Arabidopsis thaliana: one gene and its partners. The protein of the gene in region 2 interacts with the protein of the main gene of each other region in a pairwise test. Each region holds a gene or a part of one and is shown on either strand. Other genes may lie near its edges.

What was found.
Region 1: the proteins of IMPA-4 (region 2) and TERT interact in a two-hybrid assay, tested with the Arabidopsis thaliana proteins (2 studies listed by BioGRID, with this or other methods).
Region 3: the proteins of IMPA-4 (region 2) and KAI2 interact in binary tests that used the Arabidopsis thaliana proteins (3 or more experiments, as listed by UniProt).

What each region holds. Positions count from the first base shown.
Region 1 is NC_003076.8:5,536,945-5,546,064, forward strand, and holds TERT (telomerase reverse transcriptase), read right to left. Parts: upstream 6,616-9,120; 5' UTR 6,501-6,615; coding exon 6,201-6,500; intron 6,046-6,200; coding exon 5,971-6,045; intron 5,890-5,970; coding exon 5,824-5,889; intron 5,743-5,823; coding exon 5,631-5,742; intron 5,452-5,630; coding exon 5,105-5,451; intron 4,809-5,104; coding exon 4,736-4,808; intron 4,614-4,735; coding exon 4,481-4,613; intron 4,296-4,480; coding exon 4,160-4,295; intron 3,897-4,159; coding exon 2,844-3,896; intron 2,672-2,843; coding exon 2,142-2,671; coding exon of another isoform or gene 2,126-2,141; intron 2,043-2,125; coding exon 1,770-2,042; intron 1,653-1,769; coding exon 1,379-1,652; 3' UTR 1,236-1,378; downstream 1-1,235. Other genes in the region: BPA1 (binding partner of acd11 1), read left to right, coding at 80-149, 373-447, 561-1,082; AT5G16860 (Tetratricopeptide repeat (TPR)-like superfamily protein), read left to right, coding at 6,890-9,120. UniProt on the Arabidopsis thaliana protein: Telomerase is a ribonucleoprotein enzyme essential for the replication of chromosome termini in most eukaryotes. It elongates telomeres.
Region 2 is NC_003070.9:2,991,755-2,999,479, reverse strand, and holds IMPA-4 (importin alpha), read right to left. Parts: upstream 5,150-7,725; 5' UTR 4,975-5,149; coding exon 4,744-4,974; intron 4,334-4,743; coding exon 4,237-4,333; intron 4,136-4,236; coding exon 4,044-4,135; intron 3,944-4,043; coding exon 3,812-3,943; intron 3,588-3,811; coding exon 3,402-3,587; intron 3,254-3,401; coding exon 3,090-3,253; intron 2,843-3,089; coding exon 2,764-2,842; intron 2,680-2,763; coding exon 2,551-2,679; intron 2,279-2,550; coding exon 2,151-2,278; intron 2,026-2,150; coding exon 1,647-2,025; 3' UTR 1,642-1,646; exon of another isoform or gene 1,561-1,641; 3' UTR 1,272-1,560; downstream 1-1,271. Other genes in the region: AT1G09280 (rhodanese-like domain protein), read left to right, coding at 1-54, 144-276, 353-452, 565-1,271; AT1G09260 (Chaperone DnaJ-domain superfamily protein), read right to left, coding at 5,660-6,076. UniProt on the Arabidopsis thaliana protein: Binds to conventional NLS motifs and mediates nuclear protein import across the nuclear envelope. Acts as a cellular receptor for the nuclear import of the virD2 protein of Agrobacterium and is essential for Agrobacterium-mediated root transformation.
Region 3 is NC_003075.7:17,615,173-17,620,558, forward strand, and holds KAI2 (alpha/beta-Hydrolases superfamily protein), read right to left. Parts: upstream 3,485-5,386; 5' UTR 3,192-3,484; coding exon 2,824-3,191; intron 2,318-2,823; coding exon 1,873-2,317; 3' UTR 1,487-1,872; downstream 1-1,486. Other genes in the region: SRFR1 (Tetratricopeptide repeat (TPR)-like superfamily protein), read right to left, coding at 16-125, 235-362; AT4G37480 (Chaperone DnaJ-domain superfamily protein), read left to right, coding at 4,089-4,412, 4,545-5,386.

The DNA of each region.
Region 1 (9,120 bases), on a different chromosome or scaffold from region 2:
TTTTTCTCAGCAAATTTAGATACAGTTCTCTTAAACTTACTGACTCTGAGCTTTGTTTTTGTTTTCTTTTTCTAACTAGCAGTAACGAGCATAGTGCTTATGTCACATTTAAAGAAACTCAAGGAGCAGAGACTGCTGTGCTCTTATCTGTGGGTTCACTCTTATCTCAATATTATTGTAGTAGCATTCAACTCTTACATAACACTGTTAATTTAGTAATCAATCCATGTCTATAAACCTTCGTTTAATATGGTTATACTTCTCTAGTCCAGACAAAGTATCTCTGAGTATTTATAAGTAAAATTAGTTTGCTTACAACTAATATTTGGGACCATTTGCAATTTGCATTACTAACAAGGGGTGTTATTTCAGGGAGCGAGTATTGCCGATCAATCAGTCATCATTGAGTTGGCTCCCAACTACAGTCCACCAGCAGCCCCTCATGCTGTAATGTCTTCTTCATACTGTTTTTCTTCTTTTTGATTAGTGAAAAGTATTCATCTCAACACTCAATAGAGCAGTAATTTCGTAGAGGTGTTAATTTGTGTTAATTTTCTCAGGAAACACAGAGCAGCGGTGCAGAATCTGTTGTCCAGAAGGCAGAAGATGTTGTGAGCAGCATGTTAGCAAAGGGTTTCATTCTTGGGAAAGATGCTGTCGGCAAAGCAAAAGCTTTTGATGAGAAACATGGTTTCACCTCAACCGCCACCGCAGGAGTTGCTTCACTAGACCAAAAAATCGGTCTTAGCCAGAAACTTACAGCTGGAACAAGCTTGGTGAACGAAAAAATCAAGGCGGTGGACCAAAACTTTCAGGTAACAGAGAGGACCAAGTCTGTGTATGCAGCTGCGGAGCAGACTGTGAGCAGTGCAGGAAGCGCTGTGATGAAGAACCGTTACGTGTTAACTGGTGTGAGCTGGGCCGCAGGAGCATTCAATAGAGTGGCTCAAGCAGCTGGAGAGGTTGGACAGAAAACAAAAGAGAAGGTTGAAGCTGAGCAACCATCGCAACCAGCACAGTCGCAGCAGCAACTGCCAGAAGGGTATTCTCCGATTCATTCGTCCGAATACTCGAAGAACTAATATCATCAAGTTAAACAGTTTCCTTTGTTTCTCCTTGTTGGTTTCTTTGACATGGAAGTTGGAAATCTGGTTTGGTCTTTGGGATGTACCATATAAGCTATGCCTGGATTTTCCCTACCACTATTAGACTATAGTTTGGGTTTTTTCCAATATACATATTTAATAAGTTGACATTTAAATCTTTCTTTACCCTAAATGTTACAAATCCATTTTGTTCCTAGATTATCAAAATGACTGAAATAGAAATTTAAAGGATCTACCTAAGTTTCGATGATAAAATCTAGTTAAGATCAGTTTCAATAATTCAACTTCCACAGCGAAGAAGAGTTTGACCGGTCTGTTGCATACCTCAATTCCGACGATAGCTGCTGAGAAAGAGAGTGTTTAGAAAGTGCAGATTTTAAATAGATCAAGAGCATTCGATATCTCGAGTTTTTCTTCTTCAGAACTTGAATATAAGCGTCTAAGCCAAGCCATATCACTTCTTCTTTGTATAGTTTAAGAACTGGTCTGAAACTAGAACCAGTGTTGATTCTGCGCACCCTTCTATTTATGAGTCTGAACATGTACCTATCAGTTGGAAAGAAATCAAGAACCGAATAAGCAAAAAAAGACCGAATAACTCAAATCAGAATGATCCAAAAACCGAAATGCTCACAGACATATGATGTAGTTTTGATTCCATACCTGACAGATATTGTGATGAATTTGAACAAAGTTTGAGGATGAAGCTTCCAAAACCGGGACACCTCGTAGACATAACAGTGAAACTTCATTGCAGCCAACAGAAAGATCTGATAGATGTTTAACCTGACGATTTCTCCCGAGTTGATGTTCGAGTCAAATAGAATTGGATGACATTTCGGAACCAAGAAGTAACACAATTTTTGCCGAAGATTTCTAACTGGTTTGTTCTGCCAAGCTACAGAAAAAGTTGAGCTTATATGGCCACTCAAGTACCTGTTTCCATGAATTTGAGGCAAAATTATAAATAAAAGCTGAGGAAACAGAGCCAAACAAGTATACTTATGAAGGAAACATACAGGAGATGAGGCAGACCTTGTGTAGTCAACTTGAACTTCAAATGTGCGGGAATTAATAAGCAAACCCGTCCATCTGACAAAAGGAACTCCATTATCTCCCACAAACATTCTATTAGAAGAACACCTATGTTCTTCTTTATCTTCAAAATTTATGCAGAATTTTGTTTCGTTCATGAAGCAGTTGTAATCTTTAAATCCATGCTTCAACCTGTGATAGAAGCTACTCGCCTGATCTCTTGAGGTAGACACAAAAAGGTAGTCATCAATAAATCTCAGTAACTTATAGCTCGTGGGAATTATAAGCTCTTCCTCTCTACTGCATTCTTTAGAAGACACATCTTTAGAGGCTTCTTCGAGGAATGGGTAGATCAAAGTCCTCTCGAGATGCCCGTAGTAAAAACAACATAACAAGGATGATAATCTGTGTCCCTGAGGTATTCCAGCTATTTGTACATAGAAGCTTTTATCCAACTGCAGCATGTTGTTCTTTAGCATATTTCCTATCCAAACCATTAGATCCTTTTTCCTCACTCGATGGTTTTCTCCCTAGAAGGTTGGACCAAAACCATAACACCGTTAAGCAAATAAGTAAAGAACAACAGGGACGCTACAAGCACTAAGAAAAGAGATCTCTAGAGATTTTTTTAAGTAGTCCAATAGTTTTGTATTTTACCCTCTGCAAAAAGATCAAAAAGCTCTAGGTCAAAAAGAAGCATACCTTATCAACCACGATACTTTGCAGTGCATTATATGGAACAGTTGATGTGAATCTTGAAAAGTTAGAATTTTTGTCACTCGAGACTAGTATTTTGTTTACCCAATTGGATCTCTTCCCACAGCAGACCAGCCTACATCTGTTTAAGATGTATTCATCTTTCAGAAAACTTTGAATGACATGAAGCAGCTTACCCTGGTCGACTGAATCAAATGCTTTGAATACATCCGCAACCACAAAGTACAAAGGAGGAAGTTCTCCAGATTGACTTCTTAAATGGATCAGATATGGGCATAGGTTTCTGTAGAAATCATCATGGTCAAAGACAGAAGACCCAAGAACATCTGGTTCTTTGAGCTGGATGTCCTTCAAAACAGCATGTGTATCACGAAGAGATTGCGACCTTGACGAAGAACTAAAGTCTAACACCATCCTCACACCATTGGCCTTTGGTAAAAATCTAAACTTTGATAGCTTCTTCCTGCTACTTTCAGCTTCAGCATCGTCTACTAGGACATATCCATCAAGGGCTTTGCTAATTTCTTTGCTTATTAATCTTTCCCAGCTCCTTTTCCGGTAATAATAAATATTTAGCCGTCCTCCTTGGCTTTCAGTGGCATAGAAGTTGAAGTGCACCAATTTCTTGACAATCTCTAAAAAAAGCCAAGAAATCCATTTCGTGCACAACATCTGCTGTGTACTTCTGATGGATTCACTTTGGAGTTCATGTCCGTTGACCATACAGCATAACTCTTTTCTAGCAAAGAATGGGAAATCTGATGGTTTCACTTTATGCAAAAACTGATTCACTGTGCATTTCTCATTTCGTCGCCTTGAAACAAACCACGCTATATTTTTCCTAAGCACCCTCATCTGATGAGTGGTCCCAAGCAAACTTTCTGGAACAATGTACCTACAGATGGCCCAAATAAAGGAAACTACTTGGTCGTTCGTGCAATACAGCTTCCTTTCTTCAACACTGGGACATTTGGGTTTTCCCGTTTGTGATGAACTTGATCCATGAGGCAGCTTATCTGCTTTTTGCCTCCTTGAACTCTGTAATACAAGATATGCAAGGTTCGTCACTTCAAGGAAGCACTTGGAAGTGCCACGGATATGAATTCTTATGCAGGTTTGCACTATATATCCAAAGTCTATAAAGTAGCAACTGTGTTGATTTTCCATTTCTAGTTTCTTTTTGTTGTACATATTCGAATATTCAACATAACTTCTCTGAAATAGAAATACTCAAAAGACATCAAACGAAAAACGCTAGGGAAATTAAATATGAAAACCATCTCTAAAAGAAAAATATCAACCTGAGAAGTCGTTCCGGACTTCAATGCATCCTCTTGCAGCAAGAGAACAGGACAGTGTTTGTCTAGTAGCATTTTTAAATGTGAAGACTTTGTTTTTCCTATTAGATTTTTAAGAGACTTGAGCAATGAATGGTATCTGCAAATCAATGTAAAAGACATCATGATATCATTTTCTTCTTTGCATCAGTTACCTCAACAAAACTTTTAAACAAATTCCTTTTATAACTCAGACTACTTAGATATGTGCTCTACATTATCTGAATACATGCTCCAAGTCTCAGAGTAAGCCGAAGAACTTACAAGAATAAATGGATGACTTACAAGCAAATAGATCCACTGGGGCAATTGCCTTTGCCATGAGATGGCGTCGTTGACCAAACATTTACTTCACCAAATATATGGTTCATTAGGAGCTTTGAATCAGAGCAGTTGGGCCTCAAGGTTTTTAAAATGTCTGTATATCATAAGGAATCATTCACAATGCAGAAGAACTGTATAGAGAAGAGTAACGTTTAAACTTCCATCAAGCTATCGTTGCTACAAGTCATTGAACATGTCAAAACCACTGAAGGATACGGTTTGGTGGTATAACTGAATACGTTTCTGAGAGGCCAAACTTGAAATTCTTGTTTCTTTTAACCTGTTTAGCCTACAAAAAACAGTGATTAAATCTTACAAATACAAGAACAGATTGTCGAATTTGAAGGTAATGAAGTGTCAGGAAGAATATTAATAACCACCAGAATACAACAAGATAAATGATACAGTTTTTAAAATACACCAAAGTACAACTACAAAAATAGTCCCATCAATTTCTCAAGGCTGAGGATAAATCAAGAGCAATTTATACACGTCTCTTAGTAATTTTAAGCAATAACTTTATGTTTAAACTTGTGCATTTTCAACTTAAACTTGATTGATCAATATCATTGTTACGAACATTACCTGCTTTACAAAATCAGTGAGACTTCCATTTATACCAATGTGCAGATTCATTTCGTCATTACCAGTTGAGACTTTACCATTTGTACTGGGAGTTATACAAGGAGCATTACAGTCAACTTTTTTGAAATTGACCTTTCTCTGCTTTCGCCGACGCTTAAGATATATTCTTGAACGCTTAGTAGTTTTTTTCTCTCTATGTTGGTCTACATCCTCGCCAACTATGGGCGTAATAGTTGCAGAGTCATCCTTAGGACAGTCATCGACAGCTGAAGAAAGCCACTGCCTTTTCGTTGGTGGCTGAACGTTGTCATCCCTCTTTCTTTTGTTTTCATGGACTGACAATGTCCCTATACCATGGAGAAGGAAAACTTTACTAAGTTAATATGAACTAAAAACCAGAAGTTGATAATCGATAACCAAGCAGTCACAGACAAATCATAAGTATTCAGAGAACCAACAAGAAAGTGGAAGTTTCAAAAGAAAGCCAACAGAAGAGCTCGGATACAAGTTTAATTCTGAGACTCACGCTTATGCTTGATACATAGAGGAGGTCCAGACACTTGCTGGTGTTTTTTCCCTAGTAATGGTAAGAATATTGATGTTTGCTGTAGAAGATAAACCATGACGTCATGACCGACCTATAAACAAGGGAACTTGAATATTAGTGACCGCAAACTCGAATATTGAAAGTAAATCATCAAAAGGGTTTGAGAACAAACCCGCTTGAGAAGAAACTCCCAAGATGAACTTGTCAATAGCTCCAAAATAGGGCTCGACTGATCATACTGTCAAAGGAGACGAGAAATCATTAGGCTAAGAAAATCAGCACTCTACATTGAGTTTGAGAAGGAAGAAGAAGAATTCACCTTATCATATCTGGCACATATCACATTTTGGCAATCACATCCAGATTGCATCATTTCAATAATCCTTTCAACAATCTGATAAACTCAATTGAAGCAAAATGTTTAGAAATCAGCAACATCATACAAAATAAGATAACATAGAGGCATTTTATAAGGAGTAGCCACGTCTTGAAATATCTCAAATTAAGCACTCAAAGCAATGTATAGTACAGTGGGAAGAAGAATCTTACCTCTCTCTGTGACCACCAAGATGTTGGAGAGAAATCCAGAAGCGGAGGGGTTTGTTCGTGAAGTACAACGAAGCAACGGTGAAGAAGTTTACGGTAGTGAATGGGATCATCGGAACGCAGCAGAAACGCCGGTTTATCGCTGCTGCAACCGAGACAACCTTGACCCCGGCATCGGCATTGCTCCGGCTGGATATTCCGGTTAGGAATCAGATCTACTATTGCGTCGTTTAAATTCCTGGCTCTGTTTCCGAATAACCTCCATAGAATCTCCGGTACACGATGTCTAGGTTTACGCGGCATTACACCTTCCTCCTCCTTTCTCTCGAATTTGGAGAGAGAGAAGAGTGAACGAGCTTCGATAATGGAGTCTGATGGTGTGAAAGAGGCGGGAGATTAAAGGTCTTCTGGGTTCTCGAAACTATAAACTGCGATTTTGAAAATTTCAAAACAATTCAAAGCTGAGCTACAAACGCTATCCAAAGCGTCCACTCAACCGCAAACGCAGGTCGCTTAGCACATAAACCGAACCGAAATTCGCTTTAAATTTTAATCGGTCTATTATACTTTCTTCTTCTTTTCACATCCGGTTTCATTACTTTCTTCAAATTTCCAATCTAAAACCGGGATATAACCGAATTGATTTGTTTAGTTTAAACGCAGAAATCACCCGCCACTCTAGTTACAGTAGTATGATCCGCCGCCTTCTCATCCCCAACGCCGCCGCAAAATCTCACCAGTACATTAAAGTCTCTCTCTTCTCGACATCGGCGCCGGAGATAACACCGCCGTTTATTCACAAATGCAAAACCATCTCTCAGGTCAAGCTTATTCACCAGAAACTCCTCTCTTTCGGAATCCTAACCTTGAATCTCACTTCCCACCTCATTTCCACCTATATCTCCGTCGGTTGCTTATCTCATGCCGTATCTCTCCTCCGTCGTTTTCCTCCATCTGACGCTGGTGTCTACCATTGGAATTCACTCATTCGCAGCTACGGCGACAATGGCTGCGCCAATAAATGTCTCTATTTGTTCGGCCTTATGCATTCTCTGTCATGGACGCCGGATAATTACACATTCCCCTTCGTCTTCAAGGCTTGCGGCGAGATATCCTCCGTTCGTTGTGGAGAATCTGCTCACGCGCTTTCTCTGGTAACTGGATTTATCTCCAATGTCTTTGTTGGGAATGCGCTTGTTGCTATGTATTCCCGTTGTCGTTCATTGAGTGATGCACGGAAGGTGTTCGACGAAATGTCTGTTTGGGATGTTGTATCGTGGAACTCTATAATAGAAAGTTATGCAAAGTTAGGCAAACCTAAGGTGGCGCTTGAAATGTTTAGCAGGATGACCAATGAATTCGGATGTAGACCTGATAATATTACCCTTGTGAATGTTCTTCCTCCTTGTGCTTCCCTAGGAACTCATTCACTAGGGAAGCAATTGCATTGTTTTGCAGTCACAAGTGAGATGATACAGAATATGTTTGTAGGGAATTGCTTGGTGGATATGTATGCAAAGTGTGGGATGATGGATGAGGCAAACACGGTGTTTTCGAACATGTCAGTGAAGGACGTAGTATCTTGGAATGCTATGGTTGCTGGGTATTCACAGATTGGAAGGTTTGAAGATGCTGTTAGGTTATTTGAGAAGATGCAGGAAGAGAAAATAAAAATGGATGTTGTTACTTGGAGTGCTGCTATTTCAGGGTATGCTCAACGGGGACTTGGATATGAAGCTTTGGGTGTGTGTAGGCAGATGTTGTCTTCTGGGATAAAACCAAATGAAGTCACGCTTATTTCGGTTCTTTCGGGTTGTGCTTCTGTTGGAGCATTGATGCATGGTAAAGAGATTCATTGTTATGCCATCAAATATCCCATAGACTTGCGTAAGAACGGTCATGGTGATGAGAATATGGTAATCAATCAACTGATTGACATGTACGCTAAGTGCAAAAAGGTTGATACTGCACGTGCTATGTTTGATTCACTTTCCCCCAAGGAAAGGGATGTTGTGACTTGGACTGTGATGATAGGTGGATACTCCCAGCACGGGGATGCAAATAAAGCTCTCGAACTTTTATCTGAGATGTTTGAGGAAGATTGCCAAACAAGACCAAATGCTTTTACCATATCATGTGCCCTCGTGGCATGTGCCAGTTTGGCTGCACTAAGAATTGGCAAGCAGATTCATGCTTATGCGTTGCGCAACCAGCAGAATGCAGTACCGCTGTTCGTATCAAACTGTCTAATAGACATGTATGCAAAATGTGGAAGCATCAGTGATGCCCGCCTTGTATTTGACAATATGATGGCGAAAAATGAAGTTACTTGGACATCTCTAATGACGGGTTATGGTATGCATGGTTATGGAGAAGAAGCTCTTGGAATCTTTGATGAAATGAGGAGAATAGGTTTTAAGCTTGATGGTGTTACATTACTTGTTGTATTATATGCTTGTAGTCATTCAGGAATGATTGATCAGGGCATGGAGTATTTCAATAGAATGAAAACTGTTTTTGGGGTTAGTCCTGGTCCGGAGCATTATGCATGTTTGGTTGACTTGTTAGGTCGTGCTGGCCGGTTGAATGCAGCTTTGCGTCTCATTGAAGAAATGCCAATGGAGCCTCCTCCTGTGGTATGGGTTGCTTTTCTCAGTTGCTGCAGAATCCACGGAAAAGTTGAACTCGGGGAGTACGCTGCGGAAAAAATAACAGAATTAGCATCTAATCATGATGGATCATATACATTACTCTCAAATTTGTATGCAAATGCAGGGCGTTGGAAAGATGTGACTAGGATCAGATCATTGATGAGACATAAAGGAGTTAAGAAAAGACCTGGTTGTAGTTGGGTTGAAGGAATTAAAGGAACTACTACGTTCTTCGTGGGTGATAAAACTCATCCACACGCTAAGGAAATATA
Region 2 (7,725 bases):
ACAATTTCCCAGTGGTGGGTTCTTCAAAGGGAAGAACTTTGTGTTTGATCACCGGTATATATCTAGCATCTTTCTATTCTAATCTACGAGGAAAACAATTTTTATAGGTCCAGGTAACATTTATTTTGATGTCGGATTTAAAGGATCTCAGTTGGGAGCTCAAAAGAGGATATAATAGGCAGCTGCCTTCTCTGCAACAATACCTTTGACGACTATTCTCCACGTTGCCGTTGCAGATTATGCCGGATGCTTGTTTTAGTCTGCAATCATTGTCGGGTAATGCACCCAGACCACTTTTGTTGATCAACTCCATAAGGATTGTGTATCTTGGACTTATGATGTGCTATTGCAGGTTAAAGGAGATATATATATATGTGAGCTGTGTCGTAAACACGGAAAAGGGGAAGTCCCTTTGAGTCTTGATCCCTTAAACCAACCTTCTGAAAGCAATGGTAAGGTCTGTTTGTTCATTTTTGGATCAAATGTTTAAAACATCAGAGGATTTTTCAAAATTCTCTAGTCCCTTTTCCCCTGAAAACTTTGTCAATTCACTTCTATGGTCAGGTGACAATACAAGACGGAAGCTGAGGATCTTGTGCTTGCATGGATTTAGGCAGAACGCGTCTAGCTTTAAAGGGAGGACCGGATCACTAGCAAAGAAACTGAAGAATATTGCCGAGCTTGTGTTCATCGATGCACCACACGAATTACAGTTCATCTACCAAACTGCTACCCCTCCATCCGGAGTATGCAATAAGAAGTTTGCGTGGTTGGTGTCATCAGATTTTGATAAACCGAGTGAAACAGGCTGGACAGTGGCCCAATGCCAGTTCGATCCATTGCAGTATCAGACTCAAACTGAAGGGTTTGATAAATCGTTGACATACTTGAAGACGGCATTTGAAGAGAAAGGGCCTTTTGATGGCATTCTCGGATTCTCTCAAGGTGCAGCAATGGCTGCGGCTGTATGTGGGAAACAGGAGCAGCTCGTAGGTGAAATAGACTTCAGATTCTGCGTGTTGTGCTCGGGTTTCACACCGTGGCCATTGTTGGAGATGAAGGAGAAACGATCGATTAAATGCCCTTCACTTCACATATTCGGAAGTCAGCCTGGAAAAGACAGACAAATTGTGACTCAAGCCAGCTCAGACCTGGCGGGGTTGTTTGAAGATGGTTGCGCCACCATTGTTGAGCACGATTTTGGCCACATCATTCCTACAAAGTCTCCTTATATTGATGAGATTAAAGCTTTCCTTTACCAATTCATTTGAGGACTTTATTAACAAGACAAGAAGACTCTTTTGCAATCAAATATTTCTTGTACTTGTACTCTTGCCAAGTAAAAGTTATTAAACTATAACGACGACAAAGATTAAAGTGACAAATACAAAGTGTACCATATCCTAAACCAGAAACCACACTACACATAATTCATAGCAGAGTTTAAGATACAGAATCAGAGAATGATTCAGACAAATAAGGACAACATCAACAACAAAAAGAAAAAAAAACAGAAAAATAAGCCTTTTTGCACCAGAACTCAAAAAGTCGAACTTGAACCTGGCAATTGTCAATAACAGTTGCAAAAGCTGAATCTCATGTTTCCCAAACCAAAGGATTTCAATTTGTACTACTGTATACCTTTTTCAGGCAAATTTGAATCCACCAACGGGAGCAGCGGGATTGTTCCCAAAATTGAAAGCCTGTTGTGAATTGTCATTCCCGCCGTCCTGCAGAATCTGTTCTTCCTCTTCTTCAGCCCAATATCTCTCCAATATCTTAACGGCCTTCTCATATATCTCGTTGTTATCATGGGATTGAAGGTTTTCGACTTTGTCCAACCCATCAGATTCTTCTATTATTTGAGCATAGAGATTCACCCCACTGTTTAATCCCATTTCCTTGTCAGCCTCACCAACCTTGAGAATGTTTTCAAGACCCTCGAGGCACACTGTCACGATCCTTGGATCAGGGCAGATTAGAAGATCACAAAGTGGTTTGATGCAGCCTTGGGTCACCAAATATCTGCATGCAAAACTGTGTTATGGCATTTTTCGATTTCGAGATAGATAATGGTATAAGACTAAGAAGGAACACTATGAAGTGAAGTTAGTTGTTTGCAAATGCGCTTCAGAATAGAGATGACATACTGAATCTGCTCATGTGACCCTCCTGATGTGGCATTGGAAATAGCCCAAGCAGCTTCCTTCTTTATATCGAACTCCGCGTTTTGGAGCAAGTGCACAAGAGGGAGGATTATTCCAGCGCCAACCACAGCCTATTGTTTCAAATATATAAACTGATTAAAAAATTGCTTTTAGCCTCTGAAACTTTAATTAATCTCAATATTTTCAGTAGCAAATAGGGTATAATTAGGTTTCTAGGCAGAGAAGTCATTGGAAAATATGAAAGTACTAAAATTAGCTCGCTCTACTAAAAAGTTAAGAAAAGAGTAACTTCTTCACTTTTCTTCCAGAATCAGAAATGAATATCTTCCATGAACAGCCGTCTTCTTGACATATTAGAGATAGCAACAAAAAAACCGCATACCTCTATCTGAAGTTTATTCCCAGCAGTAATATTCGAGATAGTCCAACAAGCTTCTTTTTTTATACTTTTCTTGTGATTTTGCGTCAGCAAATTATAAAGGTGTGGTAGTACGCCACTCTCAATTATAAACTGACAAGCAAAGACACAGTCATAGTCAAAATCTCAAAACAAATACCCAAAACAACATAAATAGTCGTTCGTCATAAATCATACCTGTGTCTGAGAGTCATCACCAGTTACGATGTTCCCAACAGTTCGAAGAGCAGGAATGAGAACCGTAGGTGATTGATGACTTGAAGAAAGATATATTAATTAGTATAGATGCACCAAGGAAAAAAAAAATAAACAAAAGGAACAAGAATATGAGATAGTAAGAACATCAACATTCAGTTGCCAGAAGATACTCAAAAAGCATCACAAATTTGAAGATACCAACACCTTTATTGAGATAGACAAACTTTTATAGAGAGACTAAATATGATGAGAAATAAACAAAAATAATGTCTAGTCAATTATTGGTCAGGAAAAAAAGAACTAACCCCAAAAGCTCCACAAGTCGTGGACAGACACCTGCCTCAATCACAGCCTGAATCTTATCATTGGGGCCATCTGAAAGGTAGGAGAGAGCCCAGCAAGCATCAGTGAGAACCTCTTCATCATTCAGATAGATAAGCTGCCGAAGAATTGGCAACGCAGGCTTCACCTGAAACATATGAATAACCAACACTAGGCTTGAGTAAAGTAAGGAACACAACGAAACAAATATAATAATAACAATAAATAAATAAACTAGAACCATCAATCATAAGTTGTCCAGAAAAATCAAAGAGAAGCCATTCCTGTAGTCATACCTGTTCAAATGGTGTTGGTGGTTTACCACGACAAAAGTTGGACAAGGTCCATGTAGCATTTCTTAGCATGGACAACTTAGAATTTTCATTTAACTGAGCCAGCAATGGCTCAAGGGCCCCATAGTTGAGAACAAGATTCCTGCAGTTTGGAGAGTCCCCAGCAACATTTCCCAAGGCCCACACCGCCTACAATGATATCATGTAAGGGTTTGTACGAAGCCATAAAAAGTTATAGCACCTATGACTACGGAAAAGCAGTTGGCTGACTATATCACGAAAAACCACTAAGGATCAAAACAAACAACAAACAAACCAAATACGACCACGGAACTTAGAGGCATGTATCCAGGTGGACCAGGTCACATATACAAAATGGAAGCACGCAGTTATCTAGCTAGTTAGTGGCAAACCTGCTCTCGAACGTCATCACTAGCAGATGTAAGAAGCTTAACGAAGATAGGAACCGCCCCCTGTTCGATTACAACCCGAGTATGATCTGATGTTCCTGACGCAACATTGGTCAAAGCCCATGCAGCCTCAAACTGCAAACAAACTTTTCATTAAGCCACCAAACTATTCTTGAGTCTTCAAGGTGCAATTAATAAAGAACAAATCTAAAAATGAAAGAAGTACAAGACATACCTGCAATTGAGGATGGTCATGCCTTCCAAGAAACTCCACAAATCGAGGGATAACCCCAGCTTTGATCACTTCATCAATTGGAGGACTACGCTCTGTTTATCAAACCGTGTTACAAGCAACCATCAGAAGTCTATTACACACATACAACCCCAGAACAGAAAATTGCTTCTGAAAGGAACAAATGTATACCTACCTATAGATAACAACTTTCTAAATTGGGTAGTCGCTTCTAGCTGAGCTTGAGGATCATCAGAATAAACACCTTGTACCATCATTGGGATACCTTCTAACTGTCAAAAGCACATGAACGTAATCAAACAGTTGTTTCCACAGAAACGAAAACCTCTCCTTGGCTAGAAATGTAACACATCCAATCCATTGACAAGATCATCGGATCAGAAGATAGAAATTCCGATATCTAACTAAAGCACACTATACATTGCGATCAGCATACATGGTCATCCAGGATCCGCTATCAATCCCAAATATCCATAAACAAATTCCCAAAAACAAAAAACTAAACTTTGATGGTCAATTATGAGATTGGGAGCTGAGATCTAGAATTGAGGTAGGAAACAGAATCAAAGCCTCACTTTTTTCAACAATCAAACAAAGATCCATCACTAAATAATCAAATCATGTGATCCAAATCACAAAATCACGCACAATTGTATCGAAATTCAGATCAAAGGGAACTTACTCGTTTCTCAACGGCGGCAGCGGTCTGGGGACCATCAAGGCCAGCTCCGAGAGGCAGCTGCTGCTGAAGCATCATTCCTTCACGACGCTTCTTGAGAAGACTATCCTCACGCTTGTTTTTCCTAATCTCGACGAGATTGTCCTCTCTCCTCCGCCTGGCCTCATCGGCATCGACGCCTGTCTTGTATATCTTCTTCCTTAGCTCCGCGCGTGTGCTCGGCCTCAGCGACATCGTTTGTTAAAATCTCTTTCTCTCTCTCGTTCCCTGAAGGCAAACCACTTCGTCTGGATCTTCTTCCTTCTCTCTCGCTCTTTGGCAAAATTGAAATTGGAGAAATTGGGATCGTGGAGGACGAGTCGTCTGGTGCTTTCGGGTTCGGATCCGGGTCGGAGTTTTATTGGTTGTTGGATCCTTCCTCCTGACAGAGAAGTATTGCCACGCTGGCGCAAAATTTTTGTTTTTTCAGTTAATAATAATTTCGGATTTTGTTGGATCCTTCCTTCTTTTCGAATCTTTTCTCCCAAGAATCAGAGACTTTTTTCGCAACATATTATATCATTATATGTAATTATCTTGTATTAAAATAAAATAAATATAATCACGTTATTCCAACGAAAAGCAAACTCTACTAGAATCGTAACTTTTCTTATCAAATCATAATTATTATGGCAGCAAAACTGTAAATTTTGCATTTAAATAAATTCAAAAAAAGTTTGTAAAAATATCCATTAGCACTTTCAAACTGTCACAAGTTTACTTGGAATTAATACCTAGATAAAATAAAATAAAATCATAAAATTAACCTAAAAAAAGAAGAAGAACAAATAGGTTTTGTATTCCAATTCCCAAGAAAGACATGAAACCCTTGCCTCACTGTTTGATGTGGTTCATGATCTTCTGGAGACATGAATCATCTTCACTTAAACCTTTTTTTGATATTGTAATCTTTTCGTTTTTCAGGATCGGACAAGATCTTCCACGCATAATTAATAATCTCGAAAGCTGATTTGGCGGCAATAGATTTATTTGTGTCGGGGTAGAGCTTAACCAAGATGTCTCTGTACTTTCTTTGAATCATCTGATGGCTACAGAACGGATTTGAGATTCTCAAGATATCGTAGTGTGTGAAACTGGCTTTTTGGCTAGTCAAGTTGATTTGATAGGCGAGGAGAATCTGTGAGATCTCATGGTGGTTTGAAGATGTGTTTGGGTGACCAAACGTTAAGTCATTCACGATTTCAATGGCTCCTTTTAGATTACCTCTTTGATAATGTGCTTCCGCTAGTTTTAGCTGGTTTTTAAAGAATTTTGGAGCTTTCATTGAATCGTTCATTCTTTGTTTTTATTGCTGAGAATTAATGGTGAGCATGAGAGATTCAGTGATGAATTTATAAGAGAAACAAAAACATCTATGAAAAATAGGGTTTTGAGATTTGGATAACACCGAATTTTTATGGAAAATGATATTTGGGTATATCCATATTTAAGAGACAAAGAAAAATAATTTTTATTTTTATAAATCCTTTATATTGTAAAACATAAGTCACTGTACCAATAAAAATGTTAAATAAATATTTACAAAACAACAAAAAAGAATCTTCTCAATAAATAAATAAAAGCACGATTTCTCTATAAATACATTTTTGTCCTAAGTAAATTAAATCGAGAAATTACTTAAAAATACAAACTAGCCATATTTTCCACTTTGTTGTTATCGGCGGTTTCTACTCAGGCAAATATAACCGTTTCTCGTCTTTTATTTAATGAAAAGAAAAACTATCAAATTTTTAAATTTTGTGCGTAGAAAAGTTGGAGAGTACGATTGATCTAACTGTTCAGGAATGTGAGAGCAAATAAGAAAGTCAAAGATTTGGTTAGTTCTAAATTTGATTTATCAAGCTTACTCTCAATAAATTTGATTTCGTGACTATGTCATTTTAATATTCTCGTTTGATTTGTATAATAGCATAAAAACATTTACTAAAATGTTGCACTCATTGTAAAATTACAAAAAACAAAATTGAAGAAATTACATTTTATTTATTTAAAAAATTGTCATTTCTTTCACAGTAATAAAGATATGATCCTTTGTTCTGGAATGTAGGAACATGACCCCTTTCCATATCTCCACTTATATAGCTGTAGTTGTTTAGTTTGCTTAATGAAAACACCATAGTTGTTTAATTTGGTTCATTGTAGAAACGTAACAGATCCAAGTAACCAAAAAAGACGATTTATAAAGGCAGATTGAATTTTTCTCAAAAAAGTTGTCTTGTTTTTCATTGCTCTAGATTGGGACCTTAAACATCAAGGAAGGCCGACACTAGTTTGCTTGTCTATAGCCTCTCAATAATATTCCGAGTTAAGTTATTTGGAAGGAAGAAATTCTAACACTGCACATCAAAGAAAAAAACAAAAATTTGACTAATTTTTATTTTCTTTGGAAAACCAAAATATAACTATATATTTACTCTTCAGTTTATCTGTCAACATGTTTTCCTTTATCATCATGTCGTGAAAATGGAACTCGACGGGAGGAATCCATGAAGAGTGAATTGTTAGAGGCAAGTCCAAGAAGCTTGAATGCAAGATTCACAACACGATCTAATAGTAACATTCAAAATTTGGTTATATGTATGGAGGTAGTGATATAGAAACAAAATCGTAGGAGTTGAAGTGGATAATGGTTGACTTGAGACCACGTGCGGAAATGCGAGAAAACACGAGCACAGTTCAAAGACAACGAAATCTGTCTGACTAAGTACATGTGCGAGTGCATGCTGTCTTGCCACGTGTTCCATCTCATTACACCACGCAAAAGTCTTTTACGTGTATAATCAAACGTACATGAAAAGAAAAGATATGGATGACAGTATTTGTTGAATTAAATTTTGTCGAAGAGGGTTTTTGTTTGCTTCTCTAATCGTCGGACCCATTGTTTCCACTACTCAACATTCTGGTCCGGTCTTTTCTGCCGGTTGA
Region 3 (5,386 bases), on a different chromosome or scaffold from region 2:
TGGAAGTGAACTAACCTTTGAGAATAAAAGCTTGAATGGCAAAAGGTTCAAGCAGAAGTGCCTTGTCACAGTCCTTAATCACATGCTTGTGAAGCTCCAATTGATTATAACAAAACGCTCTATTGCTGAAACCAAATTCCCAATTCAAAAAAAAATACTGAGATTAACGGGAGAAAAATCATTGATACCGATCCGGAGAAATTGAATGAGAGAACAAAGATCTCGAAACCAAACCATATATCCAAAATTGAAGACTCCTTAGCAAGGAGCGAATCGAGAACTCGGATCGCTTTAGACCAGTTCCGTGAACTGCAGTGCTTGGCTAACTCGAATCGTTCCGATGTCGCCGTCGCCGTCGCCATTTTTTGAGCGGTGGTGTCTCCGATGGAGAAATCAATCGCCTATTTAATCTTTCTCAATTTTATCCCTCTTCTTCGTGGCCGTCGTGTCACGGGAACGATGGGTTTAGGGGTAAAAAGGGAAATTAGTACAGTGGAGAAAATGGTAAAGAGAGAAGACTTTGACGGAGAACGAAACGGGGAAGAAAAAAAAGTAACGGGGAAGAGAGAGATAGTAAATAAAAAAGTAACGGAGAGATAAGAGCGAAGAGACGATGATGGTGAATGTGAATGTGATACTGGTGGTGGTGCTTGTGGTGCTGCTGCTGCTTCTCAATAAGTGGTGCTAATCAAATTTTGGGGCAAGAGTCGCACACGTATGAAGTTTCTTGTCACGTGACTTTTTGTTGTGTATATATGGGCCTAGCCCACTTATTATTTATTACCCTTTTACAATGGGCTAGCTCTGTTAATCGTCTTGCCAAAGAAATTCTAAGCAAATTGAAGTTAGGTGTGTGACTGTATTGGAGAACAAATTTGAAGTATATATATGTTCTCAATTCTTTCATGACTATGTAAACATTTAAATTGTATGACCTGCAATGAATTTTAAAAAAATGGAAGTTTAATCATAGTATTTGACTTTTTTTTTGGGTAGGCTAATCATAGTATTTGACTAGTGATGAAGAAATAATATTGTACCAAATGATATTTAAATTTCAATAATAAAATAATTTTAAGAAAATAAATAGAAGTTTTATATAAAGTGAATTATAAAATGGAAGTTTAATCATAGTATTGACTAGTAAGAAGCAATACAATATTTACCATTTTGTTTTGTATCACTAATTTTTTAAAGCTATTTACTTACCAATCTATAACTAATTTCATAAACAACAAATCGAATAAAATCTGAGCAGGCGCGTCAATAAAATTTGAAAGTTATTAGTGATAAATGATAATATAGAAAACAATATCTTTTGCACCGCATCCCTATAATAACATCAAACAAATCCATAATTTCATAAGCAAACAAACCTAACAAAATATGACTTAACTCCATCCTAATTCAAAACCCTAAATTTTCATTTTACTTTGTTTAAAACTTGGCTAATTTTTGTTCACAAACAAACAAATTTCAAAACCATCACAATATGTATGTTTTATGGTTTGGATTACCCATCCATAAATGCAAACTCAATGCTAATTCCTAGTATCACATGTTAATTACTCTTCACACAGTATAGCACAAGCACTCTTGCAAAGTTGCAATAATTCACTATGGACCATCAATTACGAACATCACTATTACATCAAGCAATAATGAGCTCTGAGCAAAGCTGTGGACAAAAGACAGAGACTTTTCGTTAAACAAGATAAGAACAACAAAGATCAAGATACTCAAGATAAACGAATCAGAACCAAACGACAACGAAATAATGTTCTCAATAGACTAGACAGACATATCACATCAGATATTTTTTTTCAACTTTTCTTACATCGTTTAATAATTAACTAATTAAATCTCTTACAATCACATAGCAATGTCATTACGAATGTGACGGAGGATGACAGGAATAACAGAATCTGGTGAGCTAAGCTGAGGAAGATGACCATCAGAAGGAATAACCTCGACGACGGATTCACAGCCAAGATTGGCGTGAAGATACTCGGAGACAACGACTGGTACAGCTAAGTCCTTAACACTTTGGAGAATGTGACACGGAACAGTGACAAAAGGTAAGATCTGTCTCATGTCACTTTGGAAAATGGTCTGGCCGACGGAGAGAGCTATGTCGGGACGCATATTGAAGAGTGTTCTGCTGAATTCTTGAACGGCGATGGAGTCCATGTCGCCACCGACGGCGAGTGGAGCGAAACCTAAGCACCACGCTTTGTAGTTGCTTCGGATGGCTTCGAATAGTTGGTTTAAGTCTTCTTGTTCGAATCCACCTTGGTAATCAACATCGTTTACGTATCTATAAACGTACCAAAACAATATAATTTGATTATATATGTTTCTTTTGTCAGAAGAAAATTAAAATATATAATATACTGTGTGAGCACCGTTTCAACAATTTTTTTTAAAAAAAGTGTAAGTAACACCTCAGTAAAACCAAATAAAAAAAAACAAATAAACAAATGGGTATTTCATGATTTTTTGTTCATAATTTACGGATTTTTATTGAAATATATAATGAAATGCTTCACTGATTTTGAGAAATAGGATAATTCAGACAAGAGGATAAACAAAGAGGCACTTTGTCGAAATTATGTCAGAATGAGAAATAAATATTTCGAAATAATAGATAATTGTGTAAATTTAAGGACTTAAGATGATTTTTTTTTATTTAAATTGTAATGTTTAATAGTTTTTATGAAATCAGACAAGAGAAGGAACAGAGAAGCCCTTTTGTCTAAACTATGTCAGGATGAGATAAAAAGCAAAACATATTTCTATGTACAACTTGTGAAAAAGTTATACCTCGGAGAAGCAGAGATCATGACGATTTTGGAGAAGAGATCAGGACGGTTAAGAGAAGCCAAGACACCAATCATGGCAGAAACAGAGTGGCCAACAAAGATACAAGACTCAATCTTGAGATCTTCCAAGATTGCAATCAAATCGAAAGAGTAGCCTTCGAGATTTGAGTAACGATCGAAGTCGAAATAGTCAGGGTTGGTCGTACCGGCTCCCATGTTGTCGTAGAGGACGACGCGGTAATCGTCGACCAGATGTGGAACCAAGTGTTTCCATACTGACTGGTCCGTGCCGAACCCGTGACCTAACACGATCGTGGCTTCTCCTGAACCAATCACCTTCACGTTGTGAGCTTCTTCTACCACACCCATCTCTCTAAAGAAGATTCTTCTCTGGTTTTCTTCTTGGTACCTCTCTTAGTCAGTTCGTGGAGAAATTATGATATTTGTGTTGTTTTAGAGTGTTACGTATTATTCTTTATAAAAAAATTCGTATCTGTGGAAGAGGAAATAAATTATTTAAAATATCGCGATTTACAGGTGGCAAAAAAAGGTGAATGGAACCATGTTTGTTGGATTGTCAAACATCGCTATTCGTGATAATTTGTTTTTTGGAATCAAGCCCAAAATATTTTGGAACATTTAATGGAGTACATGACGTGGAGTTACTGACTTCTGTTCAACAATAAAATTGTTACATTGGGTTACAAATACATGAACCAATTATTTTTAATTTTGTGCATGAATTTCAACAATGCATTAATGCGAAAGAAAATTAGTTTCAATCATTCAAAGAGTGGCAGCAAATAGTCAAAAGCTGATATAATTATTATTTTAACAACACTAGTTAAATTTCGCATGTATACAACTTGCAATGAATATAGCATCTAAAAACCTCATAATATTTGTTTTTTTCTGCTTGACTTTAACTTGTCAGTACTTTTCGATCATTTAGAAGTTAGAAGACATTAATTATTCATGGAATGCCATGGTGAGTATACGACCACGTATTCACATCCACTTCCTCATCATTTTAAGAGTCAAAAATATCTGTGAGAGGATCCTGGCCCATTAAAATTCAAGGCCCATTTAGTGTAATATGGCTTCATGTTCTCTCTTTCCTAAGACCGTTTTTACTGTTGACCAATAAAGTCTGAACTCGTGATGACGTGGCGTGAAATCGAGAGACCCACGTGTCATCGGCGTGCCGTTATCCTCTTTCCACTTCCGGTCTCCGTTCCCACCTGAGTAAACCATACTGGTCGTGAAATGACGATTCTCGCCGGGTTGATACGCCGGCGTTTTAGTAGATTAGTTCCGGTTCAACTGAATTACGGTTTCGAACCGTCGCGAATTCTCTTTAACCCGAGTCAAGGAAGAACTCGGTTGCTGAGCGGCGAGGCTGAGTCCAATCGGAACGAGTTTCCGGTGGAGAACGCTTACGATATCTTGAATGTCTCCGAAACCAGCTCAATCGCAGAGATCAAAGCATCATTTCGCAGACTCGCCAAGGAGACTCATCCTGATCTGATCGAATCCAAGAAAGATCCATCAAATTCGAGACGATTCGTTCAGATTCTCGCTGCTTATGAGGTACAATGAAGAAAGCTTCACTCTTCACTCTTATGATTAGTTTCAAAATCGAAAATTTCAAGCTTTTCAAGCTTTTGTGATAGAGTTATAGCTTTAGAAGTGTCTGATGAATGATTTGTGGTGATGATACAGATTCTATCAGATTCTGAAAAGAGAGCACACTATGATAGATATTTGCTATCTCGGAGAATGGTAATGAAGAAGCACTCGGGACAAGGTTATATGATTCACAGGTATAAAACAGGATTGACATTGAGTCAAGAGATGGAAGTAGTTGAATGGTTAAAGTGGTATAGAGAAGCAATACATGATATAGTATTGGAGAAGAGAGTAGCAAATGGTACTGGTTACTTAGATGAACTTGAAGAAGATTTTTATTCAGCTATACGAGCGGCCTACTTTGGGCCTGATGTTGAATCTGTTGAGCTTCTTCCTGATTGTTTTGAAGCTGAGGAAAGGTCTGTGTATGATACACGAGAGGTTTTGCATTTGGTATCAGGACGGGATCTTTTTGGTATGGTTTCCTTGGTTGATAACTTCCTTGAGCTTTCTTCTGCTTGCTCAAAGAAATTGGCTTTGTCGTCGTTTATGGATTCGGACCTTGGTCAAGCAGTTGAGAAAGGCAACAATGACATGATGTCTGCTGAAAGGATTGGTCTTCAGATATCTCATATACAATCTTCAAGAAGTAAAAACCATGTTTCTGATGCGTATAAAGATATTCAGCTGCATGTATCTGGAAGAGTTGTTGCTACAGCCATTAGGGTTCCCCCAAAAGGGTATCATGAAAAGAAACAAATTGAGGGTGATCACGATCTTATACACGTTTTCCTCAATTCAGATGAAGGATCTAATCATGGCACTGAATCGCCTCCGGGAAATGAAAGTGGTGCCAGACTTCTTGTTGGAACTATAAGTGGTCTTGGGACAATCCCAGATGAAGGTTCATGTTATGTCTATGATGGGAATGGTGC